Linked DNA regions of Diceros bicornis minor. The protein of the gene in region 1 binds, or shares a complex with, the protein of each later gene. Links are inferred from orthologs where the notes say so. Each region holds a gene or a part of one and is shown on either strand. Other genes may lie near its edges. The genes, in order: CDK2AP1, MTA3, MTA2 and CHD5.

What was found.
Region 2: CDK2AP1 (region 1) and MTA3 share a complex: the UniProt entries of both Homo sapiens proteins name them as parts of the nucleosome remodeling and deacetylase (NuRD) repressor complex. The link is inferred for Diceros bicornis minor from reciprocal best matches to the Homo sapiens genes CDK2AP1 and MTA3.
Region 3: CDK2AP1 (region 1) and MTA2 share a complex: the UniProt entries of both Homo sapiens proteins name them as parts of the nucleosome remodeling and deacetylase (NuRD) repressor complex. The link is inferred for Diceros bicornis minor from reciprocal best matches to the Homo sapiens genes CDK2AP1 and MTA2.
Region 4: CDK2AP1 (region 1) and CHD5 share a complex: the UniProt entries of both Homo sapiens proteins name them as parts of the nucleosome remodeling and deacetylase (NuRD) repressor complex. The link is inferred for Diceros bicornis minor from reciprocal best matches to the Homo sapiens genes CDK2AP1 and CHD5.

The regions. Positions count from the first base shown.
Region 1 is NC_080774.1:7,096,321-7,104,038, forward strand, and holds the start of CDK2AP1 (cyclin-dependent kinase 2-associated protein 1), read left to right. Parts: upstream 1-4,715; 5' UTR 4,716-4,936; coding exon 4,937-4,991; intron 4,992-7,718. UniProt on the Homo sapiens protein: Inhibitor of cyclin-dependent kinase CDK2. Also acts as a component of the histone deacetylase NuRD complex which participates in the remodeling of chromatin.
Region 2 is NC_080751.1:42,198,904-42,206,867, reverse strand, and holds the start of MTA3 (metastasis-associated protein MTA3), read left to right. Parts: upstream 1-4,953; 5' UTR 4,954-4,978; coding exon 4,979-5,006; intron 5,007-6,226; exon of another isoform or gene 6,227-6,241; coding exon of another isoform or gene 6,242-6,290; intron 6,291-6,694; coding exon 6,695-6,762; intron 6,763-7,964. UniProt on the Homo sapiens protein: Acts as a component of the histone deacetylase NuRD complex which participates in the remodeling of chromatin.
Region 3 is NC_080770.1:10,491,982-10,498,815, forward strand, and holds the start of MTA2 (metastasis-associated protein MTA2), read left to right. Parts: upstream 1-3,823; 5' UTR 3,824-4,272; coding exon 4,273-4,300; intron 4,301-5,035; coding exon 5,036-5,103; intron 5,104-5,472; coding exon 5,473-5,566; intron 5,567-6,834. Other genes in the region: EML3 (echinoderm microtubule-associated protein-like 3), read left to right, coding at 40-165, 249-380, 837-904, 1,455-1,543, 1,615-1,712, 1,845-1,932, 2,462-2,560, 2,844-2,974 and 1 more. UniProt on the Homo sapiens protein: May function as a transcriptional coregulator. Acts as a component of the histone deacetylase NuRD complex which participates in the remodeling of chromatin.
Region 4 is NC_080752.1:26,264,523-26,271,587, reverse strand, and holds the start of CHD5 (chromodomain-helicase-DNA-binding protein 5), read left to right. Parts: upstream 1-4,051; 5' UTR 4,052-4,072; coding exon 4,073-4,151; intron 4,152-7,065. UniProt on the Homo sapiens protein: ATP-dependent chromatin-remodeling factor that binds DNA through histones and regulates gene transcription. May specifically recognize and bind trimethylated 'Lys-27' (H3K27me3) and non-methylated 'Lys-4' of histone H3.

The DNA.
Region 1 (7,718 bases):
CCTGCTGCCCCTAGAATAGTGCCTGACACTTTGGAAGACTCTCAATAAATATTTGTTGAATAAAGGAGAAAACTCATGACCTTCTCAACAGATGCAGAAAAAGCATTTGACAAAATCCAACTCTCTTTCATGCTAGAACAACAAACTGGAGGAATGGAGGGGAACTTCCTCAACTTCATAAAGGGCATCGATGAAAAGCCCACAGTTTACATCAAACATAGTGGTGAAAAACAAATCTTTCCCCCCTTTAAGATCAGGAACAAGACAAGGATGCCTGCTCTCACCAGTTCTATCCAACAGTGTCCTCGAGGCTCCAGTCATGGCAGTTAGGCGAGAAAGAGGAATAAAGACATCCCATTTGGGAGGGAAGAGTAAAACTATTTGCAAATAATATGATCTCACTACAGAAAGCCCTAAAGAATTTACGTACAGACACAAAAAAACTACTAGAGCTAATAAGTGAGTTCAGGAAAGTTGCAGGATATAAGACAATATACAAAAATCAGTTGTATTTCTATACACTAACAATGAACAATCCAAAAATTAAGAAAACAATTCTACTTACAATTGCACCAAAAATAATGAAATACTTGGGAATAAATTTAACCAAAGAAGTATAAGACTTCTACACTGAAAACTATAAAACATTGTTGAATTAAAGAAATAAGACCTAAATAAATGGAAAGACATCCTGCGTTTGTGGATTGGAAGACAGCATGCAGTTAAGGTGGCAATACTCCCTGAATTGATGCACAGATTTAATATGAGCTCTATTAAAATTCCAGTTGCCTTTTTTTTTTTTGCAAAAATGGACAAGCTGATCATAAAACTCATAGGGAGATGCAAGGGACCCAGAATAACCAAAACAATCTTGAAAAAGAAAAAGTTGGAGCACTCACACTTTCTGAATTCAAAGCTCACTACAAAGCCACAGTAATCAAAGCAGTGTGTTGTGGCATAAGGATAGACAGATAGATCAATGGAATAGAATTGAAAGTCCAGGAATAAACCCTCATATTCACCATCAAATTGATTTTCAACAAAGGTGTGGGACCCATTCAATGGGGAAAGAATAGTTTTTTCTTTTTCTTTTTCCCCCTTTTTCTCCCCCAAGCCCCAGTAGATAGTTGTATGTCATAGCTGCACATCCCTCTAGTCGCTGTATGTGGGACGCGGCCTCAGCATGGCCAGAGAAGCAGTGCGTCGGTGCGTGCCTGGGATCCGAACCGGGGCTGCCAGTAGCAGAGCGTGCGCACTTAACCGCTAAGCCACGGGCAGGCCCCCAAGAATAGTCTTTTCAAGAAATGGTGCTGGGACAGCTGGATATCCACATGCAAAGCATGAATTTGGACCTACCTCACCTCATACACAAAAATTAACTAAAAATGGATCAAAGACCAAAACGTAAGAACAAAAACTATAAAAACTCTTCAAAGAAAAAACAGGTAAAAATCTTCGTGACCTTGGATTAGATATGATACCAAAAGCACAAACAAACAAAAGAAAAAAGTTGAACTTAAGCAAAATTTAAAACTTGTATGTGTCAAAGGGCACTATCAAGAAAATGAAAAGGCAACTCAGAATGGGAGAAAATATTTGCAAATTATGTATCTGTGAACAGACTAGTATCCAGAATAAAGAACTCTTACAACTTAACGTTAAAAAAAAAACTCAATTAGGAGGCTGGCCCAGTGGTGTAGGGGTTAAGTTCTCGAGCTTCTCTTTGGCGGCCTGGGGTTCGCAGGTTCAGATCCCGGGCGCGCACCGACGCATTGCTTATCAAGCCATGCTGTCGTGGCGTCCCATATAAAGTAGAGGAAGATGGGCATGGATGTTAGCCCAGGGCCAATCTTCCTCAGCAAAAAGAGAAGGATTGGTAACGGATGTTAGCTCAGGCTAATCTTCCTCACCAAAAAAAGCAACAACAAAAAAATTCAATTAAAAAAGGGTAAAGGATTGAAATAGACATTTCTCCAAAAAAGATATACAAATTGCCAGTAAGCACATGGAAAGATGCTCAATATCATTATCCATTAAAGAAAGGCAAATCAAAACCAGTTCACACCCACTAGGATGCCTAAAACAAAAAAGCCAGATAATAAAAGGCTTGCTGAGGATATGAAGAAATTAGAACTCTTATACACTGCTAGTGGGAATGCAAAATGGTGCAGCCAGGAAGGAAAGTAATTTGGTAGTTCCTCAAAAAGTTACACATAGAGGGGGCCGGCCCGGCCCCGTGGCTTAGCAGTTAAGTGCGCGCTCTCCACTGCTGGCGGCCCGGGTTCGGATCCCGGGCGTGCACCGACGCACCGCTTCTCTGGCCATGCTGAGGCCGCGTCCCACATACAGCAGCTAGAAGGATGTGCAGCTATGACATACAACTATCTACTGGGGCTTTGGGGGGAAAATAAAATTAAAAAAAAAAAAAAGTTACACATAGAGTTACCATATGACCCAGCAATTCCACTCCTGGGTATATACCACAAAGAACTGAAAACATGTTCACACAAAAACTTGTACATAAATGTTCATAGCAGCTCTATCCATAATAATCAAAAAATAGAAACAACTCAAATGTCCATCAAGATGGATAAACAGAATGTGGTCTCTCCATACAGTGGAATATGATTCAGCCATAGAAAGGAATGAAGTACTGATACATGCTACAACATGGATGAACCTTGAAAACATTATGCTGAGTGAAAGAAGCCAGACACAAAAGGTCACATATTGTAGGATTCCATTTATATGAAATGTCCAGACTATGCACATACATAGAGACAGAAAAGTAGATTAGCGGTTGCGTAAAGCTGCAGGTAGTGGGGAATGAGAAATGACTGCTATTGGGTATGGAGTTTCTTTTTGGGGTGACAGAAATGTTCTAGAATTAGATAGTGGTGGTGGTTGCACAACTCTGTGAATATACTAAAACCCACTGAATTGTATACTTTAAAAGGATGAATTTTATGCTAAAGGAATTATATCTCAATTAAAAACAAAAGGAAAAAATTTTTTTCAGTGATAATCGGGACTTAAAGTGAGGGGGATGGGCGATGTGGTAAAAAATGCAGTATTGAAAGAGAATAGCCTGGAAAATTCATAGAAGGGATCAGCGCAGGCCACTGAGATCTGGATTCTTGCCCCAAGGAAACAGAGGCCTAGTCAAACAGCTAACAGGTGGTGGAGGCAGAATTAGTACCCAGGTGTGTCTGTCTTATGAGCCCCCTGCTTGTAGCTTGTAGCCCTGCACTGTCCAATAGGAAGCTGCTAGCTATTGTGGCCACTGAGCGCGTGACATGTGGCTGGTCTGAATTAAGGTAAGCTGTGAGTGTCAAATACACGCTGGGTTTTGAAGACTTAGTACCATAAAAAGAACATAAAGTATCTTAATAATTTCTTTATATTCATTACATATTGAAATCATACTGTTCTGGATATATTGTTAAATAAAATATATTATTAAGATGAATTTCACCAGTTTCTTTTTACTTTCTAAAATGTGACTACTAAAAAACTTTAAATTACATATGTGGCTTGTAATATATTTCTGCTGGACAATGCTGCTCTAGAGTATTGGGCCCCTGGAGGCAGGGTAGAAAGGGGTGTCATTAATTTATTCAAGAAATGAAATTTCACTGGGCACTCTTGGCTGAGCTAGCCTAAAGCTGATCACCAGAGGTGCTCGTTAAGCTGGGGAGGGGGTGTCACTTGCACCTTCCATCGGAAGGGAAGGCATGGGTGGTATCCCTTCTCTCCTGGGCGGAGAGGTTGACGCCCTCCTCAGTAGATCCAGATGTGTCTGAATGTCTCTAATTTAAACATCTGCAAAGCATGGCAATTAAAAACGGCAGAAAAGGGTGGGTATCTTGTAGTTTGACGAGCTTTACTATTTAAGCAGAACTCCAAGAAGCAGTACCTTCAAAAGCTTAGTCATCTAATCCAAAATGTTTGATGATTGCGCTTCAGGCAGATCTGAGGATGGGCTGGGGTGGGGTCGAGGGAGGGTTAAAAATTATAATGCCAACTCCAGGAGAGTAGAAACTTTGCCAAGTTCATTCTTGTGTCCTTAGCGCCTGGAACCCTGCCGGCACACAGTAGGCGCTTCTTAAATATTTGAATGAGTTAAGATGCAAAACTATGTGGATGCGAGGGTGAATTTTGCAGGGGAGGAGGCCCCTCACTTTTGTCAGTGTCAAGGGAGTCTAGGCCCCCAAAGGGTTAAAAACCACTGAACACAGACAGGGACATGAAATTTATTTGAAATCAATGTCAAGAATTGGTTGCTCTTCTTCTGGGGAGTAGCCAGACCTCGGCGTCTGGAATGATCTATGTGCTTAAAAATACCACTCGCCACCATTTTCTCCAGGTAATTTTCCATCCCTGCCCCCACAATCAAGGGGAAAAAAAGTAATTCTGCAATCCTACCGAGCTATTAAAAAAAAAAAATTAAGCGGTAAAATAGCAAATCTCCCGGCGCTGAAAGCGAGGAGGAAGCAAGGGACCCACGCGGGCCTCGGGCGCCGCCGGGACCCCAGCCCCCCAAACTTTGCCAAGTTGCGGGCGCCGAGCGCGCCCGGAGGCGCGGGGCGCGGCCGCGGGCGGAGCCACCCCCTGACGCCGGGCCGCGGCGCGCCGGGCCGCCCCCTCCCGGCCCGGGCCGGCCCCGCTGGCTCCGCTCAAAGTTTGCGGCCGCCCCTGCGCCCGCGCGCCCGCCCGATGTATGGGTGATATACTGCAGCGGGTGTCAGGGTGAGGGACGGCCATATTTGCCGGTGCGGCCCGAGCCGTCAACAACAAAAAGTGCGCGGGAGCTCGGCGGGCGCACGGACGGGCGCACGGACGCCGGGGCCGCCTCGCCGCCGCCCGGCCTCGCCGCCGCCGCCGCCCTCGCGGGCCTGGCCCCGCTGCGCCCCGGCGCGCCCCGCCGCTCGGGGGGATGTCTTACAAACCGAACTTGACCGCGCACATGCCCGCCGCCTCCCTCAACGCCGGTGAGTGGGTGCGCCCCGCGGGCCGCGCGCGCCGCGCCCCAAGTGCCGCCAAGTTGGAGGCCCGCGCGCCTGGCCCCGGCCCCGGCTCCCGGGGGCCCGCGGCGGCTGGGGGCGGCGGGCACCGGGTCCCGGCCCGGGGCAGCGCGGCCGCCGCCGCCGCCGCCATGATTCCAGCGCCCGCGCCGCCAAAGTTCGCGGGTGCGCCCCGCGCCGCGGTGGGCCGGGGCCAGCGCCGGGGCTCGGGGCGCGGGCGGCCCCCGCCGTCCCCCCCACGCCGGCGGCCGAGGGCTCGCGGGGAGCGCGGCGGGCGAGGGCGGGGGAGGCTTTTCTCTGCTCCTTTTTCCTCCGGCTTTTGGGCGGCTCGGCGAGGGCCCCTGCCGGCGGGAGTGGGGAGCAGCCGGGCCGCGCCGGGAGCAGGGCACGGGGCGCGGGGCGCGGGGCTCGGGGCTCGGGCTGCCCTTGGGGCGCCGGGGGCAGGCCCGGCGGGGGGCCCGGCTGCAGGGGTGCACGTGTGCAGGACCAGGGCACGCGTAGGCAGGGCTGGGGGGCGGCGGCGTGCCAGGTGCAGCGGCTCCTGAGGGCGCGGGGTGGCTGGGGTCACCGGCGGTGCAGGGCACTGGCTCGTCCGTGGGGCTCGGCCTGGCGCGCGGGAGCGGGGGTCCCAGAACAGGGCACAAGGGAGGACCCCGCAGGCGTGCGCAGAGTGAAAGCAGTTGGAGAAGACCGGGGGCTTCTGAGTGCCTGCGGGCGGTGAATGGGGGCTGCACTTCAGCCCGGGCCCCGCATCGCGGAGCCCCCAGTCTGGACCTAGAAGGCCCCCTCCTGCAGAAGCCGGGGGGCCATCCTCTCCCCTCGGGGCTGGAGCGGGGCGGTCTCCGGAAACTCCTTCAAAAGTTGCTCGGCAGCTTCAGGCTGTGCCCAGGGGCTTGCCCCAGGGACCGAGGGAGACATCGGGGGGGAGGTAAAATCGTGGAGTTCAGGGGTAACCGGCTTTGTCTGCTCACCAGGGTCCTTCTCCTTTAGACACTTGGTTGGAAACAGACTTGCAAAAAAGTGAGGCGCGTTGGGGGTGGGGGGGGCAGAGGCCTTGGGGAGGGGATTGGCCTTGTTGGTCAGAAATGCCACGTTGGCAGTTGGCCGCAAGTTTGGGGCCTTGTCTCCAAACGTTGACTCCGTAACTCCAAAAATCTGAAGAGGGACCCAGAAAAGCCATATGTATATGTGTGTGTGTGTGTGTGTGTGTGTATACACACACACACACACACACATATATTTTTTAACTTCTTGGACACAGATTTGGGGATTGGAAGGGTTAAGATTCAGGGTGCGGATGGGGGGATAGTTGAATTGGTCAGATGTGGGCTCTGAACCCCAAGAGCAAACAGCCACTGTTTTCTCTGATGTCCCCACCTCCTCTGGGGTCTGCAGACCTCACCAAGACAGGCTTTGTGGCCAGGTAGGATTCTCGATGCCTCCTGCATCTGTCTCTGAGGTGGGAGGGGTGGAGGTCTGGCTGCCTGCCTGGACAGAGGGGAACTCGCAGGCCTGCCCTGGTATAGTTGGGGCAAGAGCCCTAAACTGGGACCTTTGGGGATTGGGGTCACAGAGTGACAGGGGCACCCACTCAGAACCCCTGAAGCCCTGTTCTAGTCTGGCTAGCACCTGTACACAGGTTTTCTTCTTTCTCCTGTGGTGAATTCCAGGAGCAGTGCTGAGGTCCCCAGATCTCTGGTGTTTTTTTGGGGGGGTCTTCCCCCCTCCCCGTGGACCCCTTAGGAAGCCCTGATCTCCCCCTGCCATTTGCATCCAAGATGGACTCTCCGCAGCCGCTCCTCCGGCTTCCTTGTCATCATCCCTCACGCCCTCCAGCCCTGCCTCCTGCTCACGGGTTGCCAAGCCGCGGCCTGGCCGGCGGTGGCAGTGGCTGAGTTAGACAAAGCCCCCGCCTCCCTGCCGGAGAGCGCCCCCCCAGGCGCCCCAAGTGGCGGGAAGGCCGCCAGCTCCCCAGGCCCAGGCCGCTCTTTGTCTGGCGTGGGGGCGGGGAGCTGCGCCTGGCCCCAGGAGCTGCTGGCCTCTGCCAATCCCTCCCTCGGCTCCAGGCCCTCCCTGGTCCCCGCACACTGCACGCATTGTCTGCGATGCTCCAAGAAGGCCATGCTCACACCCAGTCTGGCTTTCTCCCTGGCCTCCTGCAGCCCGACCCGCTGGCCCTCCCTGTGCCTGCAGGAAGGAGTGGGCACGAGTGGAACTCGGGGCCCTTCTGCCAACTCTCTCCAGGACCACAGACACCCCCCTCTCAACACAGAGTAACGGATGGGCACTGGCACAGAACCGGGGTCTCCCACCACGTCACCCAGGTGCCTGAGCTGTTGCCCAGCTCCTCCCCCACCCCAAACCAGGCGATTTCTCATTCCTCGACCCTCTCCCTTAGCCCCCCAAGACCTAACCCCAGCACCATGTAAGAGCAGGATCTGGAGCCTTTGGGCATTCTGCTGGGAACGTTGCCTCAAACAGATGGAGAAACTGAGGCCCAGAGAGGGAAGGGCCTTGTCTAAGGTCTCACAGCCAGGTGTGTCAGGCTCAGCCAGACCAGCCCCTAGTCCAGGCCTGTGCCCATAGGAGAGGAGACGGGTCAGGGAGGCGGGAACTCAGTAAAGAGAGCAACCAGAGGAGGAGGACTCACCTCCTGCCAGGGAGTGAAATCTTCCAGACACAGTGAAGTGCAGT
Region 2 (7,964 bases), on another chromosome or scaffold:
CCCCTACACCATCTTAGAGGCAAGAGGGTGAGGTAGGAAATAGTCAGATTTGGTTTTTTAGGCTGTGTCCCTTCCCTTCTCCTCCTGTTCTTTTCCTCTTCCCTCCCCCACCTCACTCTGGCTGCTTTTCTAGAGCTGGGAGCAGAACTTGCTGAGAATTTTACTCCCTGGCTCTTAGGAGATGGTCAGCCCTGGGCATTCCCCCTTGTCTTTGCCATCTGTCTTGGTCAGTGACTTGTGTGGCTCGCTGCCCATGCCCTTCCTGTTTGCACATTTGGACCTGGACTCTGATCTCCTGAACCCAGACCTGCTAAACCTGTTTTCGCCCAAGCTGAAGGACTCAGGGAACCTGCTTCTTCCCCTGGGGCCAGGGTTTGGCATACTTCTTACACAAGACAGGCTGGGCTCTGTGCTGATGGTAATACAGAAGACGGTACTTCTAGCCCAGATGTCTCTCCTAAACTCCAGGCCTGTTCATCTACCTCTTTCCTAAAGAGGAAATACTTACCTGGATGTTTCCAAAGGCACCTTGAACATAACCCATCTAACACTAAACCTGTCAACTGTCCTTCCTCCCCCAGCTTGCCTCCCCTCCCATATTCTCTTCTTACTGAATTGTACCTCTCTCCACCCAGTTACTCATAACTTGGTACTACCCTTTCACTCTATGCCTCCCAAAAGTCACCAGAGCCTGTCGCTCCTACCTACTAAATCTCTCTCAAATCTATTTACTTCTCTCACACCCCACTGCCTCTACCCAAGTCAAGCCATCATCCCTCTCAACCAACCTCCCAACTGATCTCCTGGCCTGGATTCTCCACCCTCTCCAATCACTCTCTTTGCTGCAGCCTGAGTCATCCCTTCAACATCTCCCATTGCCCCTTAGGATTCTTGTTCCTAATCCCAAACCCTATACTGCCCGGCCATCTCATTCAAATCCACAGCACTCCATAGGCTAAAAAGGGAAGCACTAATGTCAATTAGATCAACCTTCTAGGGGTTCATCCCTGTCCCCCTTGTGACTTTCAGTCCCTTTTCCACTATCTGGAGGCTATGTTGTCACTAGAAAAGGAAACTCCTTGTGGATGCAACCAAATGGCTGAGCCAGCATGAGGGCATGAGGGGACCATGGAATCCTAAAAAACATACTGTAAAAACCAGGACATTCTGGGATTGGTCCTAGGTTTCATGTTTTTAGCCCAGGGGACGGAGGGAAGAAGAAGCTCCATGAACTGGGGAAGTTACGAACTCCTGACTCTTAATTTCCTTTGCCTTACGGGCTCCCTTGCTTTGATTCTTGCTGTCACGTGCCCACCTTTCTCCTGGGATACATTCATCCACCTTTAAAACCCATGACCTCCTTAGAATAGCTGAAACACGCTGTGGCTCTTTTCCAAAAGAATTTTACTAAATAACAAAATAAGTTAATGAAAGAAGAAAAAGAGAGAGAAACAAAACAGAAAACACAAGCTATAGTCTCTTATCCAAAGCCTGGCATTTGGTTTCAGATTAATTACATTCTAGACCCCCAGGCTCCTTTTGTGAGTTCAATATCACAAAGCTCCCAGACTCTGTGGCCAGCCCCATCTTTTTTTTTTTTTTTGCATGTATAAAAACTCCATCCTGAAATTGAAACAAAACCAACTTTTTATCTTATCAATAGCTCTCTTGCAGCATCTACTTCCCTTCAGCTAAATGGTGGGACACTGGTGGGACTGACACAGGGAACGTCCTGGGTCTTTAGGCAATCTCTAATCATGGTTCTTTAATCACAAGAGCCATCCCAGGAAATTTTACCCACGGGAGGGCTAGATTTGCCCTGATTTCTGACATGGTCTGAGAGACACTTCTTCCTTAGTAAGGAGGATGGCTGGAATAGAGAGAAGAGACCTATTAAGTATGAAGCTTTTAACATGTGCAAACACTTTATATATTTAATTATTAGCACAAGCCTTTGCTGTAGGTGTCAATCACTAGTCATATTTTGTAGAATTTGAGGCTCAGAGGGATTAAGTAACTTGCTCATGGTCTTAAAGCTAAATAGCCAAATTAGAGTGAAGTTTGGGCTGGTTGACAACAACTTTGTGATCTGAACCACACAGCATAAGGACATGAAGGTGCTTTTGCCTTCTTTGAAGGTGCAGGCTTTTCTACCCTCCCTTGTCAGATTGGAGGGTTTCTTTCAATCTACAAACATTTGCTGAACTCCCTTATGTGCATACCTCTTTGGTTTTATTTTATTTTATTTTTTTGTGAGGAAGATCAGCCTTGAGCTAACATCCATGCCAATCCTCCTCTTTTTGCTTAGGAAGACCGGCTCTGAGCTAACATCTATTGCCAATCCTCCTTTTTTTCCCCAAAGCCCCAGCAGATAGCTGTATGTCATAGTTGCACATCCTTCTAGTTGCTGTATGTGGGACGGCGGCCTCAGCATGGCTGGAGAGGCGGTGCGTCAGTGTGTACCCGGGATCCGAACCCCGGCTGCCAGTAGCAGAGCGCGTGCACTTGACCGCTAAGCCACGGTGCCGGCCCCTCCATACCCTTTTGGTTTTAGAAGGTATAAATGTTTCATAAACAAAGTCCTTGCATTTAACTCTGCACCTGATTCTCTAACTATACTGAGCCCACCATTCATGGGCACTTATTCTTTCTGATATTGAGCATCTGCTATGTAGAACACATTGGCCCAGGAGCTGGAGGTGGAAGAGGCTAACTAACTACACAGAATCTAGAGGAAGAAAGCGCCCCAGGTTCTGCCACCATCATTACCTCTGGCTCCTCCCCACCAAGTCTCTGAGGCCTTTCATGGGGGGCTTCTGGATGAGGCTGTTCCTAAGGGGAGGAGGTAGGTAGGGATGGGGGGCATTTTCTTGGCACCTTTTGCCTATTTATTGTGGTTAGTACAGCCATCACAAACACCTAGTAAGGTGCACAAAGCTGGGGAAATGAGACAGGCAGACAAGGAACTAACAGAAATACAGAAATATTTTGAAATAAAGAAATTGCTCATATATTTAAAAATAATGGGAAAACCCCTTAAAGCTTATGATCCATTCCTTTGCAGTTTATGGTATCCAGGTGGCTTTTTCACTTGGAGAAAGGCTTCCTGGTTTAAAGAATTCTAGGCCAGAGGAAAGGGCTGAATTATAATCCCAATACTGCTGCCAGTTTACTGATGACTCCAGGTGAATTATTCAACCTACTTATGTGTCAACTCAGAAATGGAGACAGTGATGTCAGATATGTCACAATATGTTTTTGGTGGGATCTCTAGTAAAAGGATTATGATAAACAACAACTATGCAGTGTGCATAACAGAACATTTTTGCTTTTTTCTCTGGGTCAAAAGAGCTAACTGATGCAGGCTCACAATTTGACACATGACATAAAACCCTTGAGAATCTGAACTTTCTGGAGTTAAAAAAAAAAAAGCAACAGACACCTGTTATTTGCATAGTGCTCTATGCTGAATGGTTTACAAAGCATTTTGAGATATTGTCACAACTGATCCTCACCCCACCTGTGAAGTGGAATTAGTGTCCCCATTTTATGGATGAGGAAATTTGGGTCACACACAGTCAATCAAGGTAATTCAAACAAAGGTGCTTTATTTCTTATTTTATTTTGTACTTTGCCTCAGCTTCATAGAAAATTATTTTTTTCACCTCAATAATTTGTGATAAGGGACCATCACAAATGCCATCACCATACAAACAAAATACAATCTTCTTTTCTAGGGACACCTGCCATCCCTGCACAGACCCCACACCCAGTGTCAACAACACATAGTTGTAAATCATCAGAAACTCCAAACAACGCACAACAACAATAAGGGATCATCTTCATGTTTAGTATACAACGTCTGGGAGTAGTTTAAAACGGATTGGCTTCTCTAAAGAAAGTTGTTTGTGTTCATTTGGGGGACAGCCAGCCAAGATTCAACTCTATTTGGTTTTTTATTTCTGTGAGGGTATGAAGGCTGAGAAAACAGGGATTGTTTAGAGAATTAGCATGGGAAAATAATAACTATTTAAAAGCTTTGGGCACATAACCAAGTTAACTGTCCAGCAATCAACAGCAAGCTGGTTGACACTATTTTCTCCTTTGGGGGGTGGTGGTGATGATGAACTGTAGGGCTCTGTTCCCCTATGGGCAAAGGAAGACCCCCCCCACCCCGTTTTCCTAGTAGGGCTGCACTGCATATAGGGCCTGTCTAGAGGCAAGGCCTCCAGCTGTAGGGGAGCGGGTTCTGTTCAGCCATTTGGGGTGAACGCTGATAGACATGGCACTGCAGTTAGGGTAGACTTGAAAGGGAGGCAGTTTTTCTAGCCTCCTCCCCAGCTGGGTCTCTGCCTGGGGAAGCTGGAAGCACCTGGGGCCCCCCTGGCCCCACTGTATTAACATCACCACGAGGAAGGCGCCCTGCGGCATGCACTTATTTGCATCCAAGTGTTTGCACCGAGACAGGCACTCACGTGCTCAAGGTCACACATACTGAGTCTCCCCAGGGACAGAAGCAGGGAGAAAGACCTGTCTCGGGGTGGGCAGGTGTCGGGGTACGCTGGGTGGGGCGGTAGGGGCTCCGGAGAGGCTGAGCTCTTGCCCCCAACCCAATTCTCTAATACCCCTGGTCCGCATTTCCGAGCGCGGGCCTCCGCTTCGGCCAGGACCCTTGCCCTAGGATCCCCCCCTTCCAGCAAGGCCCCCCAAACCGCCCCCCTCCCCAATTCCCTGCTGGCCCCGCAGCGCTCGGACTTCCCCGGGCCCGGCCCACTCGGCCTCGCTAGCCCGGCGCTGGGGGCGGGCACCTGCCCCCACCCCTCGCCGTCCCCTCCCCTCCACTTCCCCCTCCCCTCGTTCCCTCCCTCCCCTCCCCCACGTGGCGAGGCGGCGGCGGCGGCGGCAGCGGCGGCGGCCGAGGCTGAGGCGGCGGCGGCGGGCGGGGCTCGGCTCGGGCTCCGCGGGCGGGCGGGCGGACATGGCGGCCAACATGTACCGGGTCGGAGGTAGGAAGGCTCGGCCCGACCCGGCCCGTCTGGGAGCGGGCTCTGGGAGTGGGGGGTTGGGGCGAGTTCACCCTAACCGCAGGGAGCCACGGCGCCCAGGCTGAGGGCGCAGGGGAGGGGGGGCGCCGGGGCCCGCAGAGGGGGCCGGGGCTCCCCACCCCGCCACCCTGCACTCCCCCCTCCCCCTGCCCCCTTCCCCCCACCGTGGCCCGCAAGGGGCCTGGCCCACCCACACCCCCACACCCGCCCAGTGATTTAGGGCCAGGCCTGTACTTGGGGGTATGAATTATCAGACGCCCCCCTCCATGAAAGCCCCATGGGGGTAGGGGCCGTCGAGCCCCCTAATAGGGTGGTCTTTCCTGCGTGGCTTCTAGGCAGTGGGGGTTGGAGAGGATGGGGGACATCCCCCCATCTTGTACTCCTCTCCTTCAGTGGGAGTGTGGGGTGGGGGTGGGGGCGATGGGGGCCCAGCCAGGGGCACAGCTGGACAGGCCTGTTTGCGAGGACAGGGCCCTGCACCTCTCCTTCCTCACTCTCTCTTCCGTTTCTTATCCAGCCCCCCAAGAATGGGGCTTAGTGGGGCCGGGGCACCGCAGCCGGAGGTGGGGAGTTGAGCTCTGCCTGGACGTTTGCTCTCCTGTCTCCCTTCTTCTCAGCCTTCTGCAGAAGAGAGAAATAAGGTCAAACAAACTTTCTCCCTAGTCAGGACGCCCTCCTCCCTCTTTCTTGGTAGAATAATAATTCAGATAAGTGGCGTGTTTGTGTGTGAGACTTGCTCTTCCTTCTCTGCTCATTAGCTGAGCTCCTGATGGATGGTGGTGGGAATGGCCTGGCTAAATGAGGCCACTTTGCAGAAGAGAGACGGGAAAGAGCCACTAAGATAGACAATAACAATGCAGCCCAGCCTCTCAAATGCACAGTGGGAAGTTTCCAGTGAGCCTATTAGATGAGAGGAAAAGCTACACTTGAACATTTTTATCCTTTTTGTTGAAAATCTGCAGCGATTTCTTTATAACAAGACCCCAAATGGATCTGGATTAAATATGGTAAAAGAGTATTAAACAGATTCTGATGTCACTTCTAGAGAGCTCTGTCTCTCAGAAAGTGACTCCCCTTTCCCCCTTTTTTCCCCTCGTCTTCCTAGATAGAGCTGTGGAAAAGTTTGTCAGTGTGCTTCCTCTTACCTGCTCTGGTCACCTGATTTTTTTTTTTTTTTTCCGAAGTTGGTGATTGAAATGTACTTTGGGCTCCTAAGCCTTTCAAGATGCTCTGAGTCTGTCTTAGGTCAGTAGTTTTATGTGAGAAGCATACTCCAGGGCAAATTGGATTGGATGGAAAAGATGTGGAAGCAGTTACAGTATGAAAGACACATGTTTAGTCAGCCCTGACTACTCAATGATGATAAGAGGTGTCTTTTTGTTTGTTGTTAAAGAAATGACATGTGTGGGACAAAAGTCTAGGAGAACTTGATAAAACATTAATTGAAATGAAAATGCCAGGAAAACCAGAATCTGTGAATAGTGGGCACATAGGAGAATATTTTAAGGTTGCATTACTAAGTTTGCTTTTACCAGGGAATGAATTACATACTTCATTTTGAATGAGAATTGCCTAATATAAAAAGTCAGAGATTGACAAATGTGAACTTTTGTTGAAAAGATTAAGCTCTTTACTTCCTTAAATTGCAGATTATGTCTACTTTGAGAATTCCTCCAGCAACCCATACCTAATCAGAAGGATAGAAGAACTCAACAAGGTATACACTTAGTGTTCTTGATTCTAATATTAAAAAATATTTGTTTTCCATTGAAGGGTAATTGGGTAAAGGGCATTAGAAGTGATTTTACTTTCTGTCCCAGACTTTTTGAAAGTAGAGATTTCAGATTAGAGAGAGTTATGCAGAATTCTGAATATTCTTTTGCTTTTTATAATTACCTCTGATATTAAATGTTGTTATTTAACGTGTAGATTTCTTCAGATTGCTTAGAGCTTCTCAGAGCAAGTCACTCCTGTAACTCAGTCCCTTTTTATATTTAGAGTCATAATTTGTATTTCTCCCTTTTTAGTGAATTAATTTTTTCCTCTTCTAGCTTTAGAAGGAGGAAGCTAGGAAATATAATATTATTAAAGGGAATTTGTAAAATTCTGGACTAGACCAATAAGAATACAATTTTAGTTTAGTATAAAATGACTTCTACCTTAGGCCCAAGTAAATAAAACTCTTACATTAAAGTTTGTCCCTGATCACAAGTGTCCGGGACATTAGAAGCATTGTGACTGTTTGCAGTAGCTGAGCTTTTACAATGGAGGCACTCAAAAAGGGTCATAAATGACATGGACCATAGATTTCTTTCTTTTTTTTTTTTTTTTGTGAAGAAGATCAGCCCTGAGCTAACATCCATGCCAATCCTCCTCTTTTTGCTGAGGAGGACCTGCTCTGGGCTAACATCTATTGCCAATCCTCCTTTTTTTTCCCAAAGCCCCAGTAGATAGTTGTATGTCATAGTTGCACATCCCTCTAGTTGCTGTATGTGAGACGCGGCCTCAGCATGGCCGGAGAAGCGGTGCGTCGGTGTGCGCCCGGCATCCGGGCCCGGGCCGCCAGCAGCGGAGCACGCGCACTTAACCGCTAAGCCACGGGGCTGGCCCAAGACCATAGATTTCTAATGACGCTCTGGTTTCCTCCAAACCACCTTGAGGGTTATTTGTGTAGTTTATGAGAATTCATAGTGTTAAAATGTTTGGGGCTGTCTAGTTAATACCTTTCCCCCAAAATACCATCTGGAGACTGGTCCAGTTATAAGTCCTGGGAAGCCAGGTCTGGCCAAGGACATTCCTCACTTATGAGCCTTAAGATCTTGGTTTGCTTCTGGGGATACCCCAAGGACCTTGTATTTTAAAAACTTCTGTAGTATTTGAGACCATCACCAAATGAAGAGAATGACCTCAGGATTATAT
Region 3 (6,834 bases), on another chromosome or scaffold:
AATGGCCAGTGGGCCTGAATTTCTGCCACCACTCTGCAGATTCCTGAACACTTTGGGGCCGTGCGGGCCATTGCTGAGGGGCTGGGCTCTGAGCTGCTGGTGGGAACCACGAAGAATGCGTTGCTGAGGGGAGATCTGGCCCAGGGCTTCTCCCCTGTGATCCAGGTCGGGGGGCCAAGGGCTCGGGGAAGGAGGGAGGGTAGAGCTGTTGAGGAGGGGCAGAGGTGACAGCCCACGCTTTGCTACAGGGCCACACGGATGAGCTCTGGGGGCTCTGCACACATCCCTTCCAGAACCGTTTCCTTACCTGCGGCCATGACCGGCAGCTCTGCCTGTGGGATGGGGAGGGCCATGCGCTGGCCTGGAGCATTGACCTCAAGGTAGAGCCCTGTGTCCCTGGATCCCCAATGCCACACCCACCATGACTCCTGTGGCCACCAGTCCTTCCCCAACATCCCCTTACCTTCTGCTCTCCAGAGGCAGCCAGTTTGTAGTGGTATGGCTGTACTGGCTAAAACATTCATTCTTTGCTGATGCCTCCAGTGCCCCCTGGGCACTGCCCCCACCTCAACCCTCCAGACCACCCCTTGATCCAGCAACAAATGGGTAATCTCCAGCACAGCTACGGGCCTCAGTTCTGGTTGTTAAATATTTTGAGTATTACCCCCTGTTTAGGCTCCACTGACACCCTGCTTCCACCCCAGGTCTACTCGCCCTCTCCTCCCGTTTCCTCTTTGGGAGGAGGAGGCTTCGACGTTACCAAGATGACAAGGTGTCCCTCTTGGTTACCTCACTAGAAAGGCATCTTATTGAATTCACCTTCTCCCCTCTCCCAGGAGACTGGTCTCTGTGCTGACTTCCATCCCAGTGGGGCAGTTGTGGCTGTAGGACTGAACACGGGGAGGTGAGAGGGAGCCAGGACCCCTGGGAGGGGAAAGCAGGAGGTATGGGAAGGGTTCCTGGTAATGGCGGGGTGGAGGAGCGTGATTGCTGCCCGCTCAGGAGCCCCAACTGCACCTTCCTGCTCCTCAGTGCTTCTCGGTGCCGCCCAGGCCTCCCCTGCTCTCCTGTGGCAACTGTCATCACACCCTCCCCCAGCCACTCTCCTCTCCAAGCCTGGGAGTGGAGGAGGTGGCAGCTCAGGATAGAGAAGCAGTGGGGATGGGAGGGGCATAGGGGAGACTAACAGGCTTACAGGGAAGTGACAGGCGTATAGACTCCATAAGGACTTTGTCATTGGGCCCCTGTACTCCTTTCCCAGAGGACATCAGAAGCCCCTCAGCTTTTATCTGCCCTTAGCCCCCTCCCATTTCTCAGCATAAGAATGCAGTGGTGACCTCTCTGTCTACATCATGGTGTTTCTGTGGGTGTCCCTGAGGCTCTCCAACTTGCCAACTCCCACCCTGCCCAGGACGGGTATCCTCACACCTGCTCTCCGCCCCCCCCCCTTCTAGGTGGCTGGTTTTGGACACGGAAACCAGAGAGATCGTGTCCGATGTCACCGATGGCAATGAGCAGCTCTCAGTGGTCCGGTACAGCCCAGGTGGGAGCCACCCCTACCCTGGATCCAGACCCATCCCTGGTCCTTCCCTCTCTGAGTGACTGTCTTTGTAGATGGGTTGTACCTGGCCATCGGTTCCCATGACAACATGATCTACATCTATAGTGTTTCCAGTGATGGTGCCAAGTCCAGCCGCTTTGGCCGCTGTGTGGTGAGGAGGCTGGGGTGGAGGGTGGGGCATTGCCATAGCAGGTAAACTCCTCAAAGGGGTCAAATGCATTAAGTGGGGCCGAGGGATGGGAAATGGTGGCTACACTTTTAGTCTCTTGACCCTTGCTCCCAGGGTCACTCCAGCTTCATCACTCACCTTGACTGGTCCAAGGATGGGAATTTCATCATGTCCAATTCTGGGGACTATGAGATCCTTTACTGTGAGTGGCAGTAGGGGAGGGCATGGGGAGAGGGTAATTAGGGTGGGTTTTATTTGTGTGTGTGTGGGGCTCCTGGTTGGGAGGGGATGAAGGAGAATATGTGGGGAGCCCCAGGTGGAGGGGCTGTTACATAGGGAGGTGGAGATGGCATTGAAGGGGGGTTGGAGGTATACACATAGGAGAAATTTTGTGATTTGGAGAAAAAACCACACATAGAGTTTACACCATGTCTTGTTCCCACAAAGACTTGAGGGAGTTGAAAAATGCACTAAAAAGATTGTTTTGGAAAAGTTGCTCAGGGCAGGTGTGGAGGGATTGACTTATCTATGGACGAGGAACTGACAGAAGCTGTTAGGAAAACATCAGCGAGAACTCAGGAAGCACGTGGGGGGGCTGGGTTTTGCCCTGGGCTGGGGGCTACCGTGGCGACCAGATCACATGCCACCGCCTCAAGCCAGTGTTTCCTTCTGGGCATCTTCCCAACTGAGGGCAGGATGAGAGCTCAGCTGGGTGGGCTCCCTCTCCCCAGGGGACGTGGCTGGAGGCTGCAAGCTGCTGAGGAATCGCTATGAGAGCCGAGACCGGGAGTGGGCTACCTACACCTGCGTGCTGGGCTTCCACGTATACGGTGAGCAGGGGTGCAGGGGCGCGGAACACTGCGGGACGGCGGGGGGACAATGTGCAGCGCGCCCCAGGCTCGGAATGCTGGGTGTGTGTGGAGGGGTGGGTGGGGGTTGAGAAACTGGCAGAGCCAGCCCAGGAGGCCCCTCCGGCCCCGAGGAACCGGGAAGGATTGCCTGAAACGCGGCCGGTGGGTGGCCCCGCGGCTGCCTGAGCGCCGGAAACGGTGCAGCTGTGGGCCGTGGGTGGCGGCGGAGAGGAGGCCGGGCTGAGGCAAGGCGCTGTGCTAGGCGTGTGGCCGGACGGCTCGGATGGCACCGACATCAACTCCCTGTGCCGCTCCCACAACGAGCGCGTGGTGGCCGTGGCCGACGACTTCTGCAAAGTGCACCTCTTCCAATACCCGTGCGCGCGCGCCAAGGTGAGGCCTCCCGGGGCCTCCGGGGCCGGGCGGGCGGGCCCGGGGCTCCGTGGCCGTCGCAACTCCACCTTCCCTCCTGCCCAGGCGCCAAGCCTCGTGTACGGCGGCCACGGCAGCCACGTGACTAGCGTCCGGTTCACGCACGACGACTCGCACCTCGTCTCCCTGGGCGGCAAGGACGCCAGCATCTTCCAGTGGCGGGTGCTGGGCGCCGGGGGCGCGGGGCCGACGCCCGCCACCCCTTCTCGAACCCCGTCCCTGTCCCCCGCCTCCTCTCTCGACGTGTGACCGCCGCCTGACGGGACCCACCGGCCCTGCGACGTGGCCCCGCCCCACCCCAGTACCCCAGGACCAGGGGCCGACCCTTTCCTCGACTTCGAGACATTCCCGATCGCGCATTTCCCTGGAGGGGGAGAACGGCACTCCTGCACACACTGTATAGACCCGCTGGCTGAGCCGGGCAGCCCCAGCCTGGGCCCTGGCTCCCGCCGCCTGCTGAGGGGCAATAAACCAAAAGCAAAGTCACCTCCCAGTCCTTTTGTGGGGCGCGGCTGGGCGCCTCTGGGGCCCTACGGGGGTGGCGGTGAAGGAAAAGGGTAGTGCGGAAAGGGTAAGAGAGCGTAGACTATTCATGCAAATAACAGGCAAAGCTGCTTGCAAATAGCTTGGCGAACCGCAAAGGCGCGCGAGTCTTTCGGGCCGCAGGCGGAGCTGCAGGGCTCCGGCGAGGAGAGAGTTAAGCCCAACTCCTCTCTCGCTCTCGGAGGGGGGGCCGAGTTGCAACGGAAATAACCGAGCGCCGGGCCGCCGTTGGCCGGACGGAGCCGAACCTCTTCCGGAAGTAGCCGATCTGTGGGGTCTCGCTCTCCGACCTGAGCCGAGCGCCCGGCCTTGTTCTCCGGCTCGGCCGAAAGTGTTCCGGAAGGAGGCGAACCCCGAGGCGGGCAGGGCAAGCGTTCCCCGGGGCTGGCAGAGCCCAGCGTCTGGTGGGGCTTGGCGGGGGCGGGGGGAGCCGGAGCCTGGCTCCGGTCCGGCGGGAGCCGAGCTCGTTCCGGAAGAAGCCGAGCGGACCGGCGCCGGCCTCGGCGTCTGGGGCGTGAGGCGGTAGCGGCGGCGGCGACAGCGCGGGCCGGGATGAACCGCGACGGCTGAGGCGGCGGAGGTGCCGGCTGCGCGGACCCGACCGAGACTTCCGCGAAGTGCCAGCCCCGCGGTCGGGACTTCGCCTCCAGCCGAGCCCCGTCCCCGCGAGCCGCTCAGACCCCTTTGTGCGGCCGGAGGCGGCGGCGGGAACGGCCATGGCGGCCAACATGTACCGGGTGGGGGGTGAGTACCGGGCGCAGGGGCTGCGGGGCCCGGACGGGAGAGGTCGGGGTCGGGACCGGGGAGGCTCGGCACCCAGCGGCGCGGGAGCCGCGTCTGGGGCGGCGTGGTCCCGAGCGCGGACCGGAACCGGAACCGGGAGCGCGGGGAGCGAGGGTGCGGGGACGGCGCCGCGGCCGGGCGCCGAGACTCGCGGAGAGGCTGGGGCCGCCCCGACGGTACTCGCGGGGCCGCGCCTGGGGCCACGGGGTCGGGGAGTGGGGCTGGGAAGGTGTTTCCGAGGGAGCTGACAGCGCGGGCAGGGGGCGCGAAGGGCCGGCGACCGCTCTGCCACCTGCGGGGGAGCCGCCGGGCGGTTTCCTCTCCCCAGGCGTTATTGTGCGCCTCGGTCGCAAAGGTGGGGGCGCTGAGCGAGAGGGAACAATTGCTCGCTTCGCCGAGACTGGGGTGCAACTCGATCTCCGAGTTGTGGGGACTGCAGGGGGAACCCTCTGCTTCTGGTCTGTTCATTAAGGCTCATTTTTGAGTGAAGGATCTGATTTTAGAACTAGGTGGCTAGGCGTCGGGGGCTGGCGTCGCTTATTAGACTCTCCACTTCCACATTTCAGCGCCCTCTCTACCTGGACTCTCATCGCCTTTTGGTCCACTCAGGCCTACTTTCTCTCCTCCTCCCCTGGTGCTCTGGCTCTCCCATCTCCTCCTCTGATCTTCCCGGTTCTTCCCCACCCCCTCCTACAGATTACGTCTATTTTGAGAACTCCTCCAGCAATCCTTACCTGGTTAGACGGATTGAGGAGCTCAACAAGGTGAGTGGAGCAGTCTCATCCTCCCCCGCAAGTGGTCTCTTTCTTCTGAGGTCTCTAACTGTGGGTGGAAGAGAGACAGAGAGAAAGAAAGAGGACCCTATTCTAAGTACCCATTCATATTCATTCATTCATTCATTCATTCGATGTATTCAGGAAAGGCTATTGAGAGCTTAGTGGGAACTTTACTTTTCTATTTCTTGGGGCCTAAGGAAAGGGATATGGAAGTCTGTCCTTAAATCTAAGTCTCCTTATTCATAATTTCTTGTGTTTTCCTACTTACATCCCTTAGAAACTTATTCACTGTTGTTAGTCTCTTTGTGCCTTTTCACTTTCAAATGACCAGTTTTCACTGCCATTTTTCCCCCTTAGACTGCAAATGGAAATGTGGAGGCAAAGGTTGTGTGCCTTTTCCGGCGAAGAGACATTTCTAGTAGCCTCAACAGCCTGGCTGATAGTAATGCCAGTGAGTGTCTTGGTACCCCCACCCCATCCCGGCCCCCCTTTCTCCCCCTCCCCGTGATCTGAGGCCAGGGCATGTCCCCGCAGGTGTTTCCCCTGGTAGAATGCCCAAGGCAGGGGTGTGAGTTTGGGGGTGGGAAATGCCTGGGCTGTGGAGGGAGGCCTGGAGGGAGGCTTGTTTTTACACGTTGGGGTTGGAAGCAGAGTGGAGAGACCATGATAAGAAAAGCCAGAATATGGCTTGTATGTGAGTGTGTATATATGAATGGTGTGTGTAAAGGAGATGATAGTATTTAAATAGGGGATGAGGAAGAGCTTTAGAGAAGAAGGACCCTTGGGGGACAGTTTTGGGTGTGTTGGAACAATGGGTGGTGACTGAAGGTCAAGGTGAAGAGGAAGAGATTGTACCTAGAAGCCTGCTTTACAGGAAAGCAGGCTTATTTTGTGATCACGAGATAGTGAGAATGCATTGAAGGCAGAGAAGAGGAAGCTAGGAAAGTTTTCTTGCACTTTTTCCTGTTTCTCATCTCTCCTGTTTTCCCTTCTACTCCATTTTACATCTTTATGTTTTCCCTTTGCCCAATCTTTCTTCTCATTATGCTTTCATGTTCTTTTAAAAAATTTATTTCCTTCAGTTTTCCTTAGTTTCTTTTTTCTTTCCCCTTCCTCTTGTTCCTTCTTCCTAAATTATTTTCCTTATTTCAGGCTGCTTTGGGCATGAAGGGGTTAATGAGGAGCTGGGCCTACCAAGTTCTCTGGCCCTCTGGGGTTTCCAGCCTCATCTGGCAGGGGCTGACCTTGGCCTTGTCCAATCAGAAGGGGTGTGGGGGGTGTGGTCCCCCTTGCTTTCGTACATGGTTTCCGGAGCATACAGTGAGGGGTGGAGCCTGCTGCACACCCCCCTTCTCCCTGAGGTTGGGAACAATGCACCAATGAGCCTTGGCCTGTGGCTCTTCTGCCCCCTCCCACTTTGGTTGGCGCCCAGCCAGGTTAACCCTTTGCACTGAGGTTTCAGGGCAAGCTGCAGCTCCTTGGGGAGGAAGGTGTTGGCACTGGCTTGAGAGGTACTATCCTTGAAAGCCCCCCACACAAACTATTATTAGCCAAATAAAAAGTGAGGGATAGTTAGGATTGCATGTGATGTTTAAGAGCAAAGAGTCTCCTGAAATCTGAAAAAAGGAACTGGTAAACACAACCTTGTGTGATATTTTGTCATCTTATTGACTTTCTGGACCTCAGGCTGGTTTGGCAAGAAAGAGACAAGTGTGATAT
Region 4 (7,065 bases), on another chromosome or scaffold:
CTAAGTCATGTCATCCTCTTAGCTCTTCAGGAAGAGGTCCTAACTGTTCACCAGTGGTGCCTAGCACAGGTGTTGAGAAACATTTGTGTCAGAAACGGAGGAAAGTGGCGGAGTTTAATCATATCAAATATTTAAGAGGGTCAAAATTACAGAATGTTCTGGGGTATTTAGACCTCAGCCTTTTTAGGGGACATGATTTCTTGGAGGGTGAGCAGGACCCCAGTGAGCGGTGACGGGTCCTTGGTCAAGTCGCTCGTAGCCTCAGGAGAGCCTGCAAGTTGGCTTTGGCAGCTTGCTTTCATTTCCTTCCTCTTGCTGCCAGGTCCTTGTGACTTCTGGTGACCCCCGCCACCTTATCGAGTGCTGGAAGCAGACCGGTGCTTGGCCCCTCCCTGTGAGGGGCACACACACCTAGGATGTGGGGTCCTGACGAGACAACCACAGATTTGGCAGGACCAAGCAGACAGACCTGCCTTTCGATAAACTCAGAACACGGGGCTGGCAGGGGTCAGAAGCCACCCCGAGGGAAAAGGACCTGGGTAGTCTCCTGCTGGAGGTGTTGGCTGAATCCCGGTAATGGGCCTCTGTTCTTTGCGGTAATACGCTGTGGAGGTCACTTCTCTTTCTGGAGGGAGAGGAAGGTAGGAAAGAGGCCTGTTTGGGGGATTTGCCATCTTAGCAAGGAGGTGGTGTGGAAGGAGGCAGGTGGAGGGCTGCCTCTTAAATGATGCCATAATGGTGTTTATCTCAGGGAAGAAAAATTAAGAATTTGTAATCCAGACATTTTCCTATCTTTCCTATATTTGGGAGGATTTGAGAATCCACATTCTTTTTTCTAGGCTATTTCAGGCCTTCCTAAAACTGTTAAGGCTGCGCTGACCAGCTGAGTGAGTTAGCTGCTACCACAGTTCCCAGAAAGAACCTCTAAGATGCTTTAATTGAAGTCAAGTACTTCGCTTCAGGGCCATGGCCAGGAGTCTGCCTTTTTGAGAAGCCCCTCCCCCCATTCCCAGCAACCGGAAGAGATTTGGATTCAGGTGGGGCATGGCCCTTGCTTTGAGAAACAGGCTTCAAGTACAAGGGAGGTCTTGGTGGGCAGGGGGCGCTCACCCTTCATTTCAGAGGACCCTGCAACCATGCGAGTGACAGTCTCCCCCATCTCCGATGAGAGGCTGCAGAGTTTTCACCCCAGGGCACTGGCTGGGAGGGGTGTAGGAACAAGCACTTCACTGCAGAAGCCTAGGGTCATGTCAGGGCCATCAGGTGGCCACACTGGGATATATTGCTAAAGGAACCGGCCTCAGGCAGGACTTAAGGGGTGCCTGTGTGACAGATTCCGGAGTTGAGTGGGGTATGTGCTGAAGATACCAGCTATTGCAGCCCTGTTCTCGGAAAACCCTTTTTTCCTTGGTGCTTTCATAACCAATATATTTTTTAAAAATATTTTGATTTTGAATTGTCACTGAGGTGAAATTACAAGGTCTGTGCTCAGCAAGCATGAGAATCTTGTCTCCTAAAACTCTAACCTTAATGATAGACTTGTTCTCGGAATTGCAGAGTTTGTTGAATTTTTATCTTTTTAGGGATTGCTTTCAACATCAGGCATTTGGGGGTCCATTGTCATTAAAGTGCACATTTAATAGTTTAACAGTTCTCCTTTAAATACTGGTGGAAATTTCTAGTCAAAAATCCATTTGTTTCTGCCATTCCAGGGTTGGTTTTGTTTCGTTTGTGGTCAGTAAGTCATGTCACCTGGCCACAGCCACCGGCAAGAACAAGGATGGGGAGAGGAGTATGAGTGATGAGCATCTCAACTCTAATTTGTTGCCAAATTAAGCAGCTGGAACTGCTCTTTCTTGAGTGATGTCTTGCCTTTCTTAGCCTTGCCCTGGGAATTGGAGCCAAGGTTAATGGTGTGTGCGTGTGGTGGGGGGCTTTCTGGCGATGGGAAGTACTGTAAGTCACAGTTTCTCTAGAGTGGGACAGGGCACCTGTGCAAGTGTCTAGACCTCATCCCCCCATCTGGGAGGGGTTGGGGGCTGGGCTGGTAACTGAGAGGTGGGCATGCTTGGTGGCACTTAGAGTTTTTTCCTGGATGGTTGACATTTTGGAAGACAGAAAGTCCAGAAAGAGCAAGGCAGTCTTGCTGGTGAAAATGCAGGCCTCTCAGAGTGGCGGTGATTTGGGGCCCCTCAGCCAGAAGCCCAGTGATGTGAAGTACAGCCTTAGACGCGAGAAGCTCTCTGCTTTCTTAGTTCGCCTCCCTTTGCCCTTGTAGGCTGTCTGCCCTGGGCTGGTTCAACATCTCTCTATAATGTAGTTTAAAAGTGATCCAGGAGATGAAGGAGATTCCCAGCGCCCTGCACTGTGATCCTGGAGGCTGGACAGACCTGCTCTTGCCCAGCAATGAATGAAGAGGAGTTTTTTTGGGGGCTTGCTGGCAATTCATTTGGATGGGAAGGGGGAGGAAAAATTTGCTACACATCTTTCCAGCACTCTTGAGGCCATCCATCACCTTCTGATTACCTTGGACTCACTGTGGCTTGAGTTGTGGCAACCTCCCCAAGAGGTCTTGCATGAGGGCCCTGGCCAAGCAGGCGTGACTCTTTTGGTTCCCCAAAGGCCTCAGGAAAGGGAGAGCCCTTCTGGCGATACCAGTGTGGCATGGGTACTGGTGAACGCCACCTGGATGGGGCAGGTGCTCAGCCAAGACCTGAGGGATTGGTGCTAGACAGGAGGGAGATCTTCCCCTTGCTTCCTCTTGGCGTCCCAACTCAGGCAGATCCTGCGGGTCCCTGGCAGCCACGTGGTGCTCCAGCGCGGGGATCAGCCCGCTGCCCTTGAATGTGTCTGGCTGGAGGCAGTGAGGTGAGGGTACCCTCCCTTTATTGGCCATTCTAGGTTATTCTAGGTTAGTGCGCTGGCTATCCTGCCGGCCGCTGAAACTTTTGCGTTCTAAGAGTAGCTTTAAGACGTGCTGCAGCCGAGACTGGAGGCGCTCATTTAAAATTCCAGGCTCGCTCCCGAGGGCTCTGGGCTCCATCTTCACCTTTAACAACGGAGGGCTGGCGGCGGCTCCTCCCCGCTCCGCGACAGGTGTCGCTTCTGAGCGGGAGTTTTGGGCACAGAGAACGCAGATCTGCACCACCCCCAGGGGTCTGGATGTGTTTAAACTGGACCCAGCCTGGAGGGGCGTTTTGGAAGAGGGCACGTGGGCGGTGGGAGCCGGGTGCGAAGGGGTGAGGGAGGAGCCAGTCTGCACGGACTTTTCTGGGGGAATCAGACCCGCTGTCTCCAGAGCAGCCCTTCCTCAAGCGCGGAACACATTTTTCTTATAATCCTCTTTCGAAAGGTGATTAGAAGCGTGTTCAGACCGGAGCCGGGTGCGGGGAGGCGAGGGTCCCGGTGCGTGTGAGCGGAGTGTGGGGAGCTAGCTGCTCGCCGCCCCGAGGACCCCGCCTCCGCGCCCTTGGGGACCCCTGGGCCGAGCGCCTTCCGGGCGGGGGCGGCGGCAGGCTCTGCGTTTCCCCGCCTCCTTCTGGGCCCGGCTCGCCCGAGTCCCTGCTGCCTGCTCGGCCGTCGGGTCCCGGGGTGCGCCGGCGCCTCGACGGCTCCGCCGGCCGGAGCGCCCTGTCCCCCACCCTCCACCCGGCGGCTCAGGACTAGTCCCCCAACTTGTTCTCTGCTGTTAACTAGTCGCACTGCCGGAACGATGGGATGGGGTTGCCACAGCAACCAGACTGGACGTCACAATCCGGGCATGTGTGCCGCCCCCCCCGCCGTGCCGCCGGCGCTGCCGCCGCCACCCCCGGCCGGCTGCGGGACTCGGGCTGCGGGGCGCGGTGGGCGGAGCAGCCCGGGCGTTGCGGGGAGCAGGGCAAAGGCGGCCGAGAGGAAGGGGGTCGAGACGGAGGGGTGGAGGTTTGGGGGGGTGGGGGGGCAGGCGGCCGCCATCTTCTCGCCGAGGCCGCCTCGCCCGCCGCGCGCGCCCGTCAGGCAGCGCACGGGTTAAGGCTGGCACCGCGCCCGGCGGGAGGGGGGGCGCCCACCTCCCCTCCCCCCCGCGCCGGCTATGCGGGGCCCGCTGGGCACCGAGGAGGAGCTGCCGCGGCTGTTTGCGGACGAGATGGAGAACGAGGACGAGATGTCAGGTGAGCGGGGCGCCGGCTGCGTGCCGGGCCGGGGCGGCGGGGGGCGCGGGGACCGGCGGGACCCCGGGGCCGGACCGCGCGAGCGGCACTGGCAGCGTTCGGGAGGGGGCGCCCGGGCTGCGCTGCCGCCCTCCTGGCGCCGCGCAGCCAAGGGCGCGGGGTAGGCGAGCGCCAGGGCGCGGCACGCCGGCGGCCAAAGGCGGGGTGCGATCGGGGCCACCCTGGCCGCGGCGCGGGCCAGGCGCGGGCGGAGGACCGCGGGGGGGCCTGCGCTGGGCGCCCCGGGCGGGGAGGGGGCGCGGCGCCGCCGGGGTCAGCCCTCGTGCCCTTGAAGGGGGCGGGAATCGCGCTCGGCTTCTGGCGCCGCGCACCCCGCGCTGTGGCCCTACCGCCGGGCGCCTTTGGCCTTCCGGGGGCAGGCGGGACCCGGCCCCCGGTCCCTGGCCCATCTCGGCTCCAGGGCGTGCTGGGTGGGGCCCGGAGCAGGGCGAGGACGGGCCGTGCTTGGGGACCCGGCGAGGGCCCTGGCTGGGGCGGTTTCTCTTGGGCCCACGAGGGCTACAGGCCGGGGTGCGCGGGCTCGGACTCCCGCTCCCCTTCCCCGGCCGCTGAGTGCTGTGACCGCCGCTCCCAAGCACTTTGCCTGGGCCGCCGGCGTCGTGCTGGCACACCCTAGCGCCCGCCGCCGTCTCCAGCCTGAGACGGACCAAGGTAGTGGCGTTCCCAGCCTACTCCGCTTTGGCTATCGGTCTGAGCCCAGGGCCACCGCCCTTGCCCTTGCCATCCCTCTCAGAATTCAGCGTAAACAGGGCTTGTGTGTCAGGGGTAACCTTGCAGGATCATCCTTTAGTTAATTGCTCACCATTTGTTTGGGACGTTTCCCTTCCTGGCACAGCTGGGCAGGGCCTCACCCTGTCAACCAGCCTCCCTCCCTCCTTCTGGGGGACTGTGTTACTTCTCAGCTTCCCTGCACCAAATCTGTGGGCCCTCCTGGGCTCCTTAGAGACTTGTGGGAGATCCAGGGGCCCTCCCTGGCCCAGAAGTGTGCTGTCTGGTCTCAGGAGTGCCTTCCACAGGGGGGAGAATATTCCACAAATTGGCATCCCAACTCTTGTGTGCAGGAGGTGAGAAGGAGAGGACCCAGTGGGCAGCAGCTCCCCAGGCTGCTGGGTCTTCCCAGCTAGGGGATTCCCTCCAGGAGGCCAGGCCCAGGAGGGCCTCCTCCCCGCCACCCTTCAACTTGGTTGCTTGCTTTAAGGCTGTGATGGCCGCCCTGCAGGAGCCTGGCCTCACCCCATTTTTCAGACACCCTGCTTTTCAACTTTGCAAAGCTCCTGCTGGGGTGAGGGGAGTGGGGCTGAGGCGGCCCCACGTGGGTGGGGTTGCTTGGACAATAGTTGACTCTTACATATCCAGATCCAGGGAATCAGGCCCATTTCCCTGGAAGGGAACACAGAGGCCCAGCACAGGCATGGAAACCCGTGGCTATTTTCCACCCAGGAGGCTGGCTCCTCCCTAAGCCGTTCACTGCTTCCTCAGCAGGTGGTTTCCAGTGGTACTCTGGGCACGGCCCCTTTGTGGCACGATAGGGGCACTGGACATGCCTTCACAGGCTTATTCCAGAACTTCACCGGCCCCCTGATGGGGTCTCCTGTCCCTCTTTCCCACATACTCTGGCTCTCCCTAGTGGTGTCAGGGTGTGGAGCGTGGGGAGGGGAGGAGGCCAGGGAAAGTACCCCCAGGCTGATGGGCCCCCAACTCACCCTGTTTGGGCCAGAGGGCTTGGGTCTTGGTCAAAGTCACCTGCTCACCACCCATTCTCCCTCTCCCTCCTGCTTGTGCCCATTGCTCCGGGGCAGGGCAGGGTAGGGGTGAGGTTGTCCCCAGGGCCTCTAGGAATGCCCCCAAAGCCCTGCAGAGGAGGGCCATGCTCCGGCCACTCTGGCCTAGGGATTGCAGCCCCATCCTCAGCAAGACCAGATGCTCCACCTCCAGAGTGTGATCTGAGCCTTCTCAAGCTCCCAGCTCCTCTCCATGTGCCTGGTCCAAGCCACCGTCCCCTTCTGCTGGTCCACTCCAGAGGCTCCCAGCCAGTCCTCAATGACCAGCCTCCACTCAGCAGCCAGGTCACCTTTGTAAATCAGACCCAGACCCCCATGGCTTTGATTGACTGCAGAGCTCCTGCTCTGTCCCGCCCTCATCATCCCCACTCCCCCTTGTTCACCTACTGCAGCCACACTGGCCTCCTTGCTGCTTCTAGAACCCCCCAAAGCATCCTGCCGTTGAGCACTGGCTGTGACCTCTGCTGACCTGCTCTTTCCTCCGCTCACAGCTGCCTCCTTCCTGTGGTTTAGGTCCCAGCTCAAATGTCACCAAGGGGAGGCCCTCCTTGACCTCCTGGCTCAAGGGTGGCCCCACCCCTGTCGCCCTCAGACCCATCTTAATGCTGTATTTTCCTGGCAGCCTTTCCTATTACCTGGAATATTACCATCAGCCTACTTCTGTGTCGATGGGCTCCCCCTCGAGTGTACTCCCTTGGTCACCTGCCGTGCCTGGCACATGGTACCGTGGGTGCTCAGGAGATGGTTGTGGTCTCAGTGTCTGAGGGCTAGGAGTCTCTAGGTCACCACTGGCCCCCAGACACGATGACAGCCTCAGCCCAGGCCTTGTGTCTCTCCTGAAGTGCTAGCCAGCTGGCCCCCTAGCTCTCCATTGCAGCCGCTCTGCAGCCCTCGGCCTGTGTTCGAGGCTGTGACCCGACTGGACCTAGAGCCAGCAGGTTCCAAACCATCACAGTTTGCGGGCGGAGGAGCTAGTGTTTGGGAACTGTCGTGCTCATTTTTAAATCTGCAGCAGATTGCACTCGTTACTTGTCAAATCGACTTTCTTTTCACTCTGCCCCGTCTCCCACCTC